Linked DNA regions of Drosophila melanogaster. The protein of the gene in region 2 purifies or fractionates together with the protein of the main gene of each other region. This does not show direct contact. Each region holds a gene or a part of one and is shown on either strand. Other genes may lie near its edges.

Region 1 (2,998 bases), on a different chromosome or scaffold from region 2:
CGTGTGATTCGCCACTTCAATTTTCCGACGATGGTGGCATATCGGTGGATGAAATGATGCGTACGAATCTGGTGGATGTCTTTGCGGCCGGTGATGTGTGCACGGCCAACTGGCCAGCCGCAATGCACTGGTTCCAGATGCGCCTGTGGACTCAGGCTCGCCAAATGGGCTCCATGGCGGGCAGGAGTATGGCGGCTGCCAGTGAAGGTGAAAGCGTGTACCAGGATTTCTGCTTCGAGCTCTTTGGCCACGTAACCAAACTTTTCGGATATCCTGTTGTCCTGCTGGGACGCTTTAATGGTCAGGATTTGGGCAGGGACTACGAAATTCTGGTGCGCTGCACGAGAAATAAGGAATACATCAAGTTTGTGCTTCAAAATGGCAGACTACGGGGAGCAATGCTAATCGGCAACACTGATCTCGCAGAGACCTGCGAGAACCTCATCCTGAACGGCATTGATTTGGAGCCCTATGGCGATGATATTCTTAATCCCGACATTGACATTGAAGACTATTTTGATTAGTTTATTATGCGCTAGCTTAGAGTATTAAAGACATTAAAAATAATTCGCATCTTGGAGCTAACTGCTAGGTTTGGCTTATACCTGGATTTGGTGTGGCTTTTTTTGACCGCTGTCATTTGAGCTTGCCTTCGGTGCCTGGGAATTATTCGTTTAAATGGTTGATTACATGTAGTTCTTAGGAAATGTCGAACTTTTGCAATACTCACCCACATACTTGATCTCATCGAAGGCCTTTCGTGCCTTTTTCAACTCCTCGTTCATGGTCAGAAGATCCTTCACCCTAGCGTACTTTCGGGGATCTTTGCGCACCAGGAAGATAATGTCTTCGACTTGAACACGGCCTGTTCGACCGATCTCCATTGCCCGGTGAGTGGTCTCAGCTATATACTCAATGACCAGGTCTTCCAGCAGATCTACGGTTTCCGTGTATGGATTTTTGTCGTCTCCGAATCCGAACATCATGCAGCGCAGCTCCTTGCTGAATAGGCGCTTTCGTCCTGAGTTGGTAGCCACAAATTGGTCATCCTCCGCGTCGTCATCAAAGTTGAACTAAAAATGGTGATTAGCTTAGAATCGGAGACATTGGAACTGGTGCTTATAATATTTCCTTACATCACCGCCCTCGAAATTCTCCTCTGGCATGCTATTTGAGGCCATAGTGCTCAGACTTCAATTAAAACGTTGAATTTGTATACAAATTTTGTGTTTACGCGAGTAACACCGCATTGAATGAGCATTGTAATCGATACTTGCAGCACTGCTGGCGATAATTGGTTGAGAAGGTAGCTGATACTGAGACTAACTCGAAATAGCTAGATTGCGAGCTCATATTTCAAATATCTGAGCTTGTCAACAAATCTAAATATTTTGGTTCGTGATTAAATAAATTGTGAATTTATTCAAGACCATACAAAATACATCTAAAATATATTTATATAGGTGCTTAAATTATAGCCACGAGTAAAAATCTAGCCAAACTCAACACATGGTTGCACTGCGCGATAACGCCGCCCGAACAATCGTTATCGAAGCCTTTGCTTGCACACGCATTTCAAAAATTTTTATAAACGAACACATCGTTCATTCAAAAGGGGAAAATGGAAGTGTTTACCTTTGAGAAATCGTACTTGGAGCGCCTAAAAGAAGCGGAGGCGGTGCTTTCGTGGGAGGGAGCCGTGATGCCCGCATCCCAGGTTCGATCCGAGTGGAAATCCTACGTCGAATTAAAAATTGAGCCTGCAGGTAAGCCACCCACACACACACACACACACACTCGTGCACAAAAGGCAACTATATATACATATATGTATCTATATGGGATATATAGGATGGCAGGCAATTTGGAAAATTCCACGCGTTATTTGCGAGGATCTGAAACTACGCTATCCCACCATTGTTTACGGCTACGTGGAGCAGGTGATCTTTGACGAGCTCAAGGCGGTATTTGTGGTGACCGCCGTGCAGGATAGCGATGTCCACCTGCCGGAGAGTAATGAAGTATCGCTAGTGGAGCTGTGGCCCACTGTGCAGCAGGAGAACGCAGCTCTAAATGTGGATACCACCGCTGAATGCATCGATCGTTTGCGGTTCTTCTATACGCATGTGTGGATGCCTTGGGACAAGGACTACGACGATGATCGCGACTGGGTGCAACAGCATCTGCAGGCTCGTATCCAACTAGTGTGCGATCTCAGCAAGAACCGACTGCCCCGTCCGTTGGCCCTGCACATGCGCACCCTGCTCGCCGAAGCCAAATACATTCAGCAGCGTCTGGACTACTTGGAACTGGATCTCAGTGATGCCGAGAGCGACGACGAGGCTGTGGAACTCAATGACAGCGTAGCAGAGCCCGCTAGAAAGCAATCTAAAGCGGGCAGTGCCAATGGCTGTCTCAATGTGTCCAGTCTGCCGGTTACAGATCTGATGTGCCTGCACCTGCGCATGGCCATCATAAGGAGCGAGTTCGAGATCCTTGAAAATCCTGAAATGAGGCGAGCCTACAGCGAGCTACAGTCTAATAGCCTCAAGCGGCTTCGCTGCTCCTCAGGAAGAACCAGACAATCGGAGGATCTCTTGGTAGAGCGGAATTCCATAAGCCATGTGGTAACCTTGCCGGGAAAACTGCAGCAGCAGCTGGAACTGCTAAAGCTGGCCCAGACGCTGGTCAAGCCGGAATCGAAAGTGCAGCTGTCCAATACGTTGCAGGATGTCCTGAGCATCTGTCAGAGCAACGATGATATTCTACTTTCGCCCGGCGAGCATACAATCAAATTCTTGGAGCACCTCAACGATAATGGCAGCCTAAGGGGACTCACTCAGCCGGAAGCCATACTAAGTCCTGCTGCAGATCTTTCCCTGCTGCCTGTGGTGTGCTCGAGCGATGAGGATAGCACCCTGCTGGTCATTGATGGCGACTATACCTTGTCGGAATTGGTTTTGGATTGTCGTCATGTCCGTAGAGGGATCCTGCTGCG
Region 2 (4,730 bases):
ACTACCGGCTAGCGTTGTCTTGATCATCAGCTTGGGCACCGTCTGCATCTCCGCCAGTGAGGACGACGACGACGATGAGGAGGAGGACGAGGCAGATGAAGACGAGGCGGATGCGGGCGAGAGGCTGGACAGGTGGGCATCGTTCTTGGCGGGCATAGCTGACTGGGCGCCACTCACAGCTGCTGAGCACGATCCAGAGTTGGAGTTGGAGCCGGAAGCAGCCGGATTCTCAGGCAACTTGATGGTCAGCTTAGGCACCACGCTGCCTACGCGCCTCTCGTTCGCGGCGCGGATGGTCAGCTTTGGCACAATGTGCGGGGTGTTTCGTAGTTGTTGGCCGAGGGTGGTAGCCACCTCGTCCTCGGCGCACGACGAGGAGCAGGAAGAGGCGTCCGCATCGAAGGCATCTTGCTGCTTCGCAACCAAGCCTCCTTCCGCTCCGCCGCAGGGCAGCTGAATGCGCAGGGGCTCCACGCGCCTCTCATCTCCGCCCGGCTGAGATTCATTTGCGTTTGAGTTGGGATTGGCGTGCTTGGAGAGCTTCAGGATGATCTTATGTCCATCCCGCTCCTCGCTCTCTACCTCAAGCGCCGTAGCGGCCATCGGTCCACCTGCTGCTCCCGCTGCTGATGCTGCTGATGGTGCTTCTCCGGATGCTGAGCTGGCCGATGCAGATGCTCCAGTTGTGCTTGGGGCATCGTCGCACGGCGTCGTCGGCGGTGGCAGCGTCGGCGGAGGCGACGCTGTGGTGCTGGTTATATGGCCGGGCTGATTATGCTGGTGCTGCAGTGCCTCCTCCCGCTGCTGCTGCTGCTGTGGCTCTGGCTCCTGTTCCCGGTCCCGATCTGCATTCAGCTGCTGATCCCGCTGGGCTGGCGACGACGTGGAGCTAACTCGCTGCTCCTCCTCGCTCGTGCTGCTCGCTGCCACTGACTTGGCGTTGCTATTAGCGCTACAGTTAGACTGGGGGCGACCTGCTGCTCCGGCTGATCCTGCTGTGGACGTGGCGGCTGCCGATTCTACCGCTGTTCCCGATTCCGATCCTGATGACGATGTCGCTGCTACCATCTGCTGCTGACGTAAATCATTCATTGCTATATTCGATTGTCCAGTGGGCCGCCAGCCTGCAAAAAGAAGTGGACGATACTTTAGATCAGGGTGCATGATAGCAGTCGATAAGATTCGGGACTTTCAACAACTAATTCTTAAATTTGCATGTGAAATCAATCCTAAAGAAAACCGCCAATACAGCATATAATAATGCGTATAATTGCCGCTCCAAGGGATGCATTTTGTTTACACTAAAAAGAGACAATTTGAAAAGGGGAACGACCTACAGACACACACACCCACAAATACACTCATACATACATACATACATATATGTACATTTGTACATACACACTTATTGGAGCCCAATGAAAGAATAAAATTGAATGAAAGCCGGGTAGAGTTACGAACTAATTATAGCACATGTCTAAACAATTAAACCGTATTTGTAAATACCGAAGGACGCGCAGGTTTAAACAGTCGCCAGCCGAAAATTCCGATGAAAATGCAATACGATTTTCCGGCGCTGAAAAACTACCGCTCGAAATTGCCGCGAAAAACTTCAAGCGAAATAAACACAAGAAGAACCACGGCGAGGGCAACAACAACAACACTTAATAAATAATAAGCGCTGCAAACATGCGCACACAGCTGTCGACTGGGGGAGAACGTGAAAAGGCAGGAGGAAGATGAGGATGAAGCGGAATGGCTATGGCGTTGAGCGCAGAGGAGCGCAGCGAAGCAGCGGGATAGGCAAATACTGAGAAAGCCGCGCCGCCACGAATTATGGCCTGTTTGTTACTGGTGTGTGCTGGCAACACTGACGCGAATTCACCACGCTGGCGGCCAAATCCACCACAAGCAGTCGATGCCGCTGCATGGAGAAAATCCACACACACACACACACATACGAAGGAGCACGACACGCACACACTCATATGGGTTGGTTGCCCTGGCCTGCGTATATGTATGCTTACATTTCTACTGGCCAAATGCAAGCATCTATCTATCTGCACTAGGACTAATATTATTGTGAGCACGATTTTAGAGCGCAATATCGACAGCCAGTGCACTGGCAACAAAATTAGCAACAACGACGCCGCCGCCAAAGCCCTGACCCAACACCACCACTACAACCACTACCACTACCAATACCAACGACAACAACAATAACGAACGGGGCAAAGAAGAAGCAGCAACGACAAGCAAACGGCAAACTCACCATGCGGCAAAGTCGTCGCTCAGAGACAGACAAAAGAAGATGGTGGAGTAGAAGAGCGCCTGCTTTTGATTTGCGTGCACAATTCGCGATTGCGATTTGGATTTGCTATTTCGTTTGCCTTTGCCTTTGCTGGCATTGGCATGCTCATATTTCTATGCACTTTGATTGATGCTGCGCGACGCCGTGCGGCAATTTTCTTTTTTAGGCGTTCGGCGTTGTTGGGCGAGAAGTAAAACACATTTTTCCATACGATTCAATGCGATTTCGAAGCACGGGCAACACTCGACTCTCGGCCGCAGTAGGCACTACTCGCACGCACACATCGGCGGTGCACACGCATGCACACACACACACACAACAGCAACAGAACGGCACACACACACACACGCTCAGTCGTACGCACACAAAGGCAGCGACACAGAGACAAGCGCAACGAGCTCTCTCAGTCGCCGTTGTCCCACTTTCCGTGTATTGGTTTCGATTCGTACACTTTTCCACGCACTTTTAACGATTCAAATTCGATGGTACAGAAGGCAGGGCGACACGAGAGTGCATTGGAAACTGGCGCAAACCTCAAAAAAATATATCCAACACGCTGGCCGCACGCACGACTCGTATGCAGACTGGTTCTCGGCGCGCGTCGAACGTTCTTATGCATTCATTATTGAACGGAATGCTCTGTTTCGCCTGTCTGCTTATGTTTTTTTCTTTTCGATTCCGAGGTACTCGTCACGACAAATGAAAATCAGTGTGGCCGTTTTGCGGCTGTCAGCTAGATACCCGGCTGGCGGGGAATGTGCTAAGAAATACCACAAAATCGACGGGGATAGCCGGGATACAAACCAGTCGGTGCACTTGACTACCGCTAAATGCGTCTTTACTAAATTGCATTTTTAGCTTTTAGCATGCAAATTATGAACTATAACCTAATTAAAATACCCATTATGGTTATTACTTTTGATCAATGTAATCATCGGTCATTCGCAATCACGCGCTCACGTCCATTCATTATTTCTTTGCAATGTCATCCTTTTTCAAAGATATCAAGCCTATTTTCTTCAAAATTGTAGACTTTTGCATTTTGCACCAACAAAGCATGCGCAAGCAGTTGTATTTGGCAAATCATGTTTGATTTCATTCAGACTTTGTGTTTTCGTACGGCGGGAAGTTTCTCTGAAAATTTAAATTTATGTACATATTTACATCGACGCTGGAAAACAAATAGCGCGCTTGCGTTTCACCAATTTCCAGCGGCATTTGCGCGGTTCTGGCCACACTGTTCGGCACACAACATAATCCTGGTTGTCGCCACTTGTTTTCGATCATTTTAGACTTAAACCAATGCAAAAGGAATTTCCTGCTAACGTTATCGATAATCGCAATAGACGCCAAATCGCCAGTTTTACCTCTTCCTTTTTCGCAGGCCCCGTTCCGTTCAGCGAATTCTCGCCCGAGCTAAGTCTATTGCAAGCGTCCGGCTATAGAAATCGACGACAAATCGCTAGTTCCACCTCTTCCTTTTCGCAGGCCCCATTCCGTTCAGCGAACTCTCGCCCGATCTAAGCGTCCGGCGATAGGAATCCACCTCTTCCTTTTCGCAGGTCCCGTTCCGTTCAGCGAGTTCTCGCCGACACTAAGTGCATTGCAAGCGTCCGGCGACAGTTCTTACCCAGATCTTGTCAAGTTAACACGATGAGTGCTCAACCGAGTCCGCATATGAATCCTCAGCAGCAGCAGCAGCAGCAACAGCAGCAGCAGCAGACCGAGCAGGAGAAGGTAAGCCGATGTCGGCAAGAACGCGTGCTAGCTTTAACTTATCGCCCGCCAGGTGTACCAGTGGATCAATGAGCTGGCCCATCCGGACACGCGTGAAACCGCTCTGCTCGAGCTAAGCAAGAAGCGTGAGACGGACCTGGCCCCCATGCTGTGGAACAGCTTCGGGACCGCCTGCGCCCTGTTGCAGGAGATTGTTAACATCTACCCATCGATAACGCCGCCCACTTTGACGGCCCACCAGTCGAACCGCGTGTGCAACGCCCTGGCGCTGCTGCAGTGCGTCGCCTCGCACCCGGAGACTCGCACGGCCTTCCTGCAGGCCCAGATACCGCTGTACTTGTACCCTTTCTTGTCGACCACGTCCAAGACCAGGCCCTTCGAGTACTTGCGCCTGACCAGTTTGGGCGTGATTGGTGCTCTGGTCAAGGTAGGTTAAGCCGAAGGCCAGTGGTCATCTAATGCACTAATGCACTTGTTGTCTTCTTATTACTGCTATCGACAGACCGACGAACAGGAGGTGATCACCTTTCTGCTGACCACCGAGATCGTGCCCCTTTGTCTGAGCATCATGGACAGCGGATCGGAGCTGAGCAAGACTGTGGCCACTTTCATCATCCAGAAGATCCTGCTCGATGAGTCGGGTCTGTCGTACATCTGCCAGACCTACGAACGCTTTTCGCAC
Region 3 (3,048 bases), on a different chromosome or scaffold from region 2:
GAGCGCAAGTACAACGGCATGATCGACTGCGCCGGCAAGCTATACAAGGAGGGTGGACTTCGCAGCGTTTTCAAGGGCAGCTGCGCCACAATGCTCAGGGATTTGCCCGCCAACGGGCTGTACTTCCTGGTCTACGAGGCGCTGCAGGATGTGGCCAAGTCGAAGTCAGAGACGGGACAAATCAGTACTGCCTCAACGATTTTCGCAGGTGGAGTGGCGGGCATGGCCTACTGGATTCTGGGCATGCCAGCCGACGTGTTAAAGAGCCGCCTACAATCGGCTCCCGAAGGCACCTACAAGCACGGCATACGCAGTGTCTTCAAGGATCTGATTGTCAAGGATGGACCTCTGGCCTTGTACCGCGGCGTGACGCCCATCATGCTCCGAGCCTTCCCAGCCAACGCTGCCTGCTTCTTCGGCATTGAGTTGGCTAACAAATTCTTTAACATCGTAGCTCCAAATTTCTAGTTTGTCTAATAAAGAAAGTGCCTCGCTAAAATGTTTTTACAACTTGAAGAAAACTAGCTATATTTGTGTGCCCAATTCAAAACTTTAGAGCTTAACTAAATCTAAACGAAATACTGCGGCTTGCGCATGGTGATGCCGTGGTCCGCGAGTGCCGGCACCAGGTCCTCCATGGCCAGCGTGTACTTCCTGTCCTTGGGGTTTTTCTTGTCCTTGCTGGAACTGTGTCCGCTGGAATGCTGGATGTTCGTGGTGCGCGTCTTGCAGTGCTGCAGTGCGTCGTTGGCAATATCCGAGATGAACTTCTGCGCGGACACCGAGACGAGGCGCACTATCTTGGGGTCCACTGTGCAGAAGCCAGCCTGCAGATTTAATCCAATATTAGAAATGCTACAAAGAATAGTTTCCGGTATATAGCTACCGTTTTCAAGATGTGCATGGTGAGGGCGTCTGGTATGGTGGGCGAGTAGTCCTCCAGCTGCTTTATCAGCTCATCCATCTCCGATTCCTCCGTCGTCAGAGGAACCTCCTCCACGTCCGGTTGCTCCTCGTCGGAATGCAGTTCGGACTGCATTAGTGGCGAGTCTATATCCTCCTCCTCGGTGTCCGTGGCCGATGTTACGGATTCTGCGGGTGTAACACTGATGTCCTCGCCATCGGAAGCCATTGTTTTCCACTTTTTAATTGTTTATTTCCAGAAATTTGTTATCTCAGCTGGCGTGTATATGTGTGTATGTTTATATTGTAATCGATGACGAACCGTAAGAAGAATCGATAGCACTGGCAGCAACAATACGGAATAATTCGATAACTAGCATCTCCCATCACTACGTCTGCACTGTGTTTAATTTGTATTGTACACTTTTTTCGATGGTGGGCTCCAATTTCGGAATTATTTACCACAACAGCGCCGGTGGCGCAAGCAGTCATGGACAATCCTCGGGAGGAGGTGGCGGTGGAGATCGGGATAGGACCACACCATCTTCGCATCTCAGCGACTTCATGTCGCAGCTGGAAGATTATACTCCATTGATTCCGGATGCGGTCACCTCGCACTATCTCAACATGGGAGGCTTTCAGTCGGACGACAAGCGCATCGTTCGGCTGATCAGCCTAGCCGCCCAGAAGTACATGTCCGACATCATCGACGATGCACTGCAGCACTCCAAGGCGCGCACCCATATGCAAACCACCAATACACCGGGAGGATCGAAGGCCAAGGACCGCAAGTTCACCTTGACCATGGAGGATCTGCAGCCGGCTTTGGCCGACTACGGTATTAATGTTAGGAAAGTGGACTATAGTCAGTAGATAATGGCATGCATTGTAGTAGTTTTTTTCTCATTAAAAATAATGTATCTTAAGATCTGTGTTTTGGGAATTTATTGCGAAAGACCTTGGGATCTTAATGCATTCTCATTCTTTCAAGAAATCCATTTAGTAAAGGGATTTAAGTCCATAGAATGCGTAACTAATCGAGCATATACAAGGTAATTTGTTTTTTTTTATAATGTTATACAAAAGCTATTAACTAGGCGGTTAATACTAGGAGTATGTTTACTGGCATGTTATGAATTTTCTGAAACTGCGAGATGTTCCTCCAGCCACCCGGAAGGCCAGGACTCCCGTAAGTATGGTGACCAAGTAGTTTATCAGCAGAGTGGTCGTGTAAAGCTCATTGGCATTGAGCAGAGTTATCAGGGAGACGAACAGGTGGCTGAAAACCACATAGCCTATGTGGATATAGTTGTTTGTGTCGAATGCGTTGAAGAAAATAACGCTCCAGAAGGTGTGCAGCAGGATAATCGACAACGCCTGGGCAGCCGAGGTGACGAAGAATAGCTCAGTTCCGCCCTTCAAGCCCATGGTGCCGGGACCACTCTAAAAACCAAAAGATCTGTCATTGCTCGGAGCACATTACGCACCTTTGCTGCACTCACCATATCAGCCAGCACATTGACCAGTGCAAACATCCCGGATATAATGCCGAATCCCAAGCCGGAGACATAGGCCAGGATGTGCTTGTTGTCCGTCACTCGCGTGTCCTCCGCCACGGCGTGCAATCCCTGCTCCGTGCTGCGCAGTATCCGGTAGATGATGTACCGGAAGGCTTCCTGGAAGCACACCGAGAAGACCACGCCAAATGCCAGGAACTCCTTCAGCGGAATCAGGGCATACCACAGGGAAGAGATCAGCAGGGAAAGCAGCCAGAAGAATGCCGCCGCAATCAGAATGATGATCCGCACTGGATCATTGGCGATGGTGAAGACGAACAAGGCGAAGGGCGGTCCGAAGGCGATGAAGGTGCAGCCAAAGAACTCGGGCAACGTCATCTTGTCTTTGTATTATTACTGTTTTTTCTTTTGCTCTGTGGGTGTTTTGGTTTACTTGGGAAGAGGAAGCAGAGACTCGCATAGAGTTGCCAGACTTTTGCAGTGCCATTCGGGCTGCCACACTGTACGTTTTAGTAGTGTACATACCCTACACAGATGAGTACATTAGCTTGTGCGTCACGCAAAAGTATACAAATTATTTAAACTGCGAGAATTATCCAAACAAATGGGAATCTTTTAATCTTAACTT

The links.
Region 1: the proteins of e(y)3 (region 2) and Taf13 purify together in Drosophila melanogaster (affinity purification with western blotting, with the first as the bait; 2 studies listed by BioGRID). This does not show direct contact.
Region 3: the proteins of e(y)3 (region 2) and Taf10 purify together in Drosophila melanogaster (affinity purification with western blotting, with the first as the bait; 3 studies listed by BioGRID). This does not show direct contact.

Annotation. Positions count from the first base shown.
Region 1 is NT_033779.5:20,092,588-20,095,585, forward strand, and holds Taf13 (TBP-associated factor 13), read right to left. Parts: upstream 1,263-2,998; 5' UTR 1,182-1,262; coding exon 1,137-1,181; intron 1,074-1,136; coding exon 731-1,073; intron 660-730; coding exon 637-659; 3' UTR 525-636; downstream 1-524. Other genes in the region: Pyroxd1 (pyridine nucleotide-disulfide oxidoreductase domain 1), read left to right, coding at 1-524; nesd (nessun dorma), read left to right, coding at 1,622-1,766, 1,852-2,998.
Region 2 is NC_004354.4:19,635,346-19,640,075, forward strand, and holds the start of e(y)3 (enhancer of yellow 3), read right to left. Parts: upstream 3,025-4,730; 5' UTR 2,028-3,024; exon of another isoform or gene 1,507-2,027; intron 1,125-1,506; 5' UTR 1,093-1,124; coding exon 1-1,092. Other genes in the region: Rcd-1 (required for cell differentiation 1), read left to right, coding at 3,965-4,048, 4,101-4,475, 4,551-4,730. UniProt on the Drosophila melanogaster protein: Essential transcription regulator during early development. Coactivates transcription of some euchromatin genes and repress transcription in of euchromatin genes translocated to heterochromatin.
Region 3 is NT_033779.5:2,766,065-2,769,112, reverse strand, and holds Taf10 (TBP-associated factor 10), read right to left. Parts: upstream 1,224-3,048; 5' UTR 1,133-1,223; coding exon 887-1,132; intron 828-886; coding exon 570-827; 3' UTR 501-569; downstream 1-500. Other genes in the region: colt (congested-like trachea), read left to right, coding at 1-468; Taf10b (TBP-associated factor 10b), read left to right, coding at 1,336-1,776; aph-1 (anterior pharynx defective 1), read right to left, coding at 2,023-2,346, 2,406-2,798. UniProt on the Drosophila melanogaster protein: TFIID is a multimeric protein complex that plays a central role in mediating promoter responses to various activators and repressors.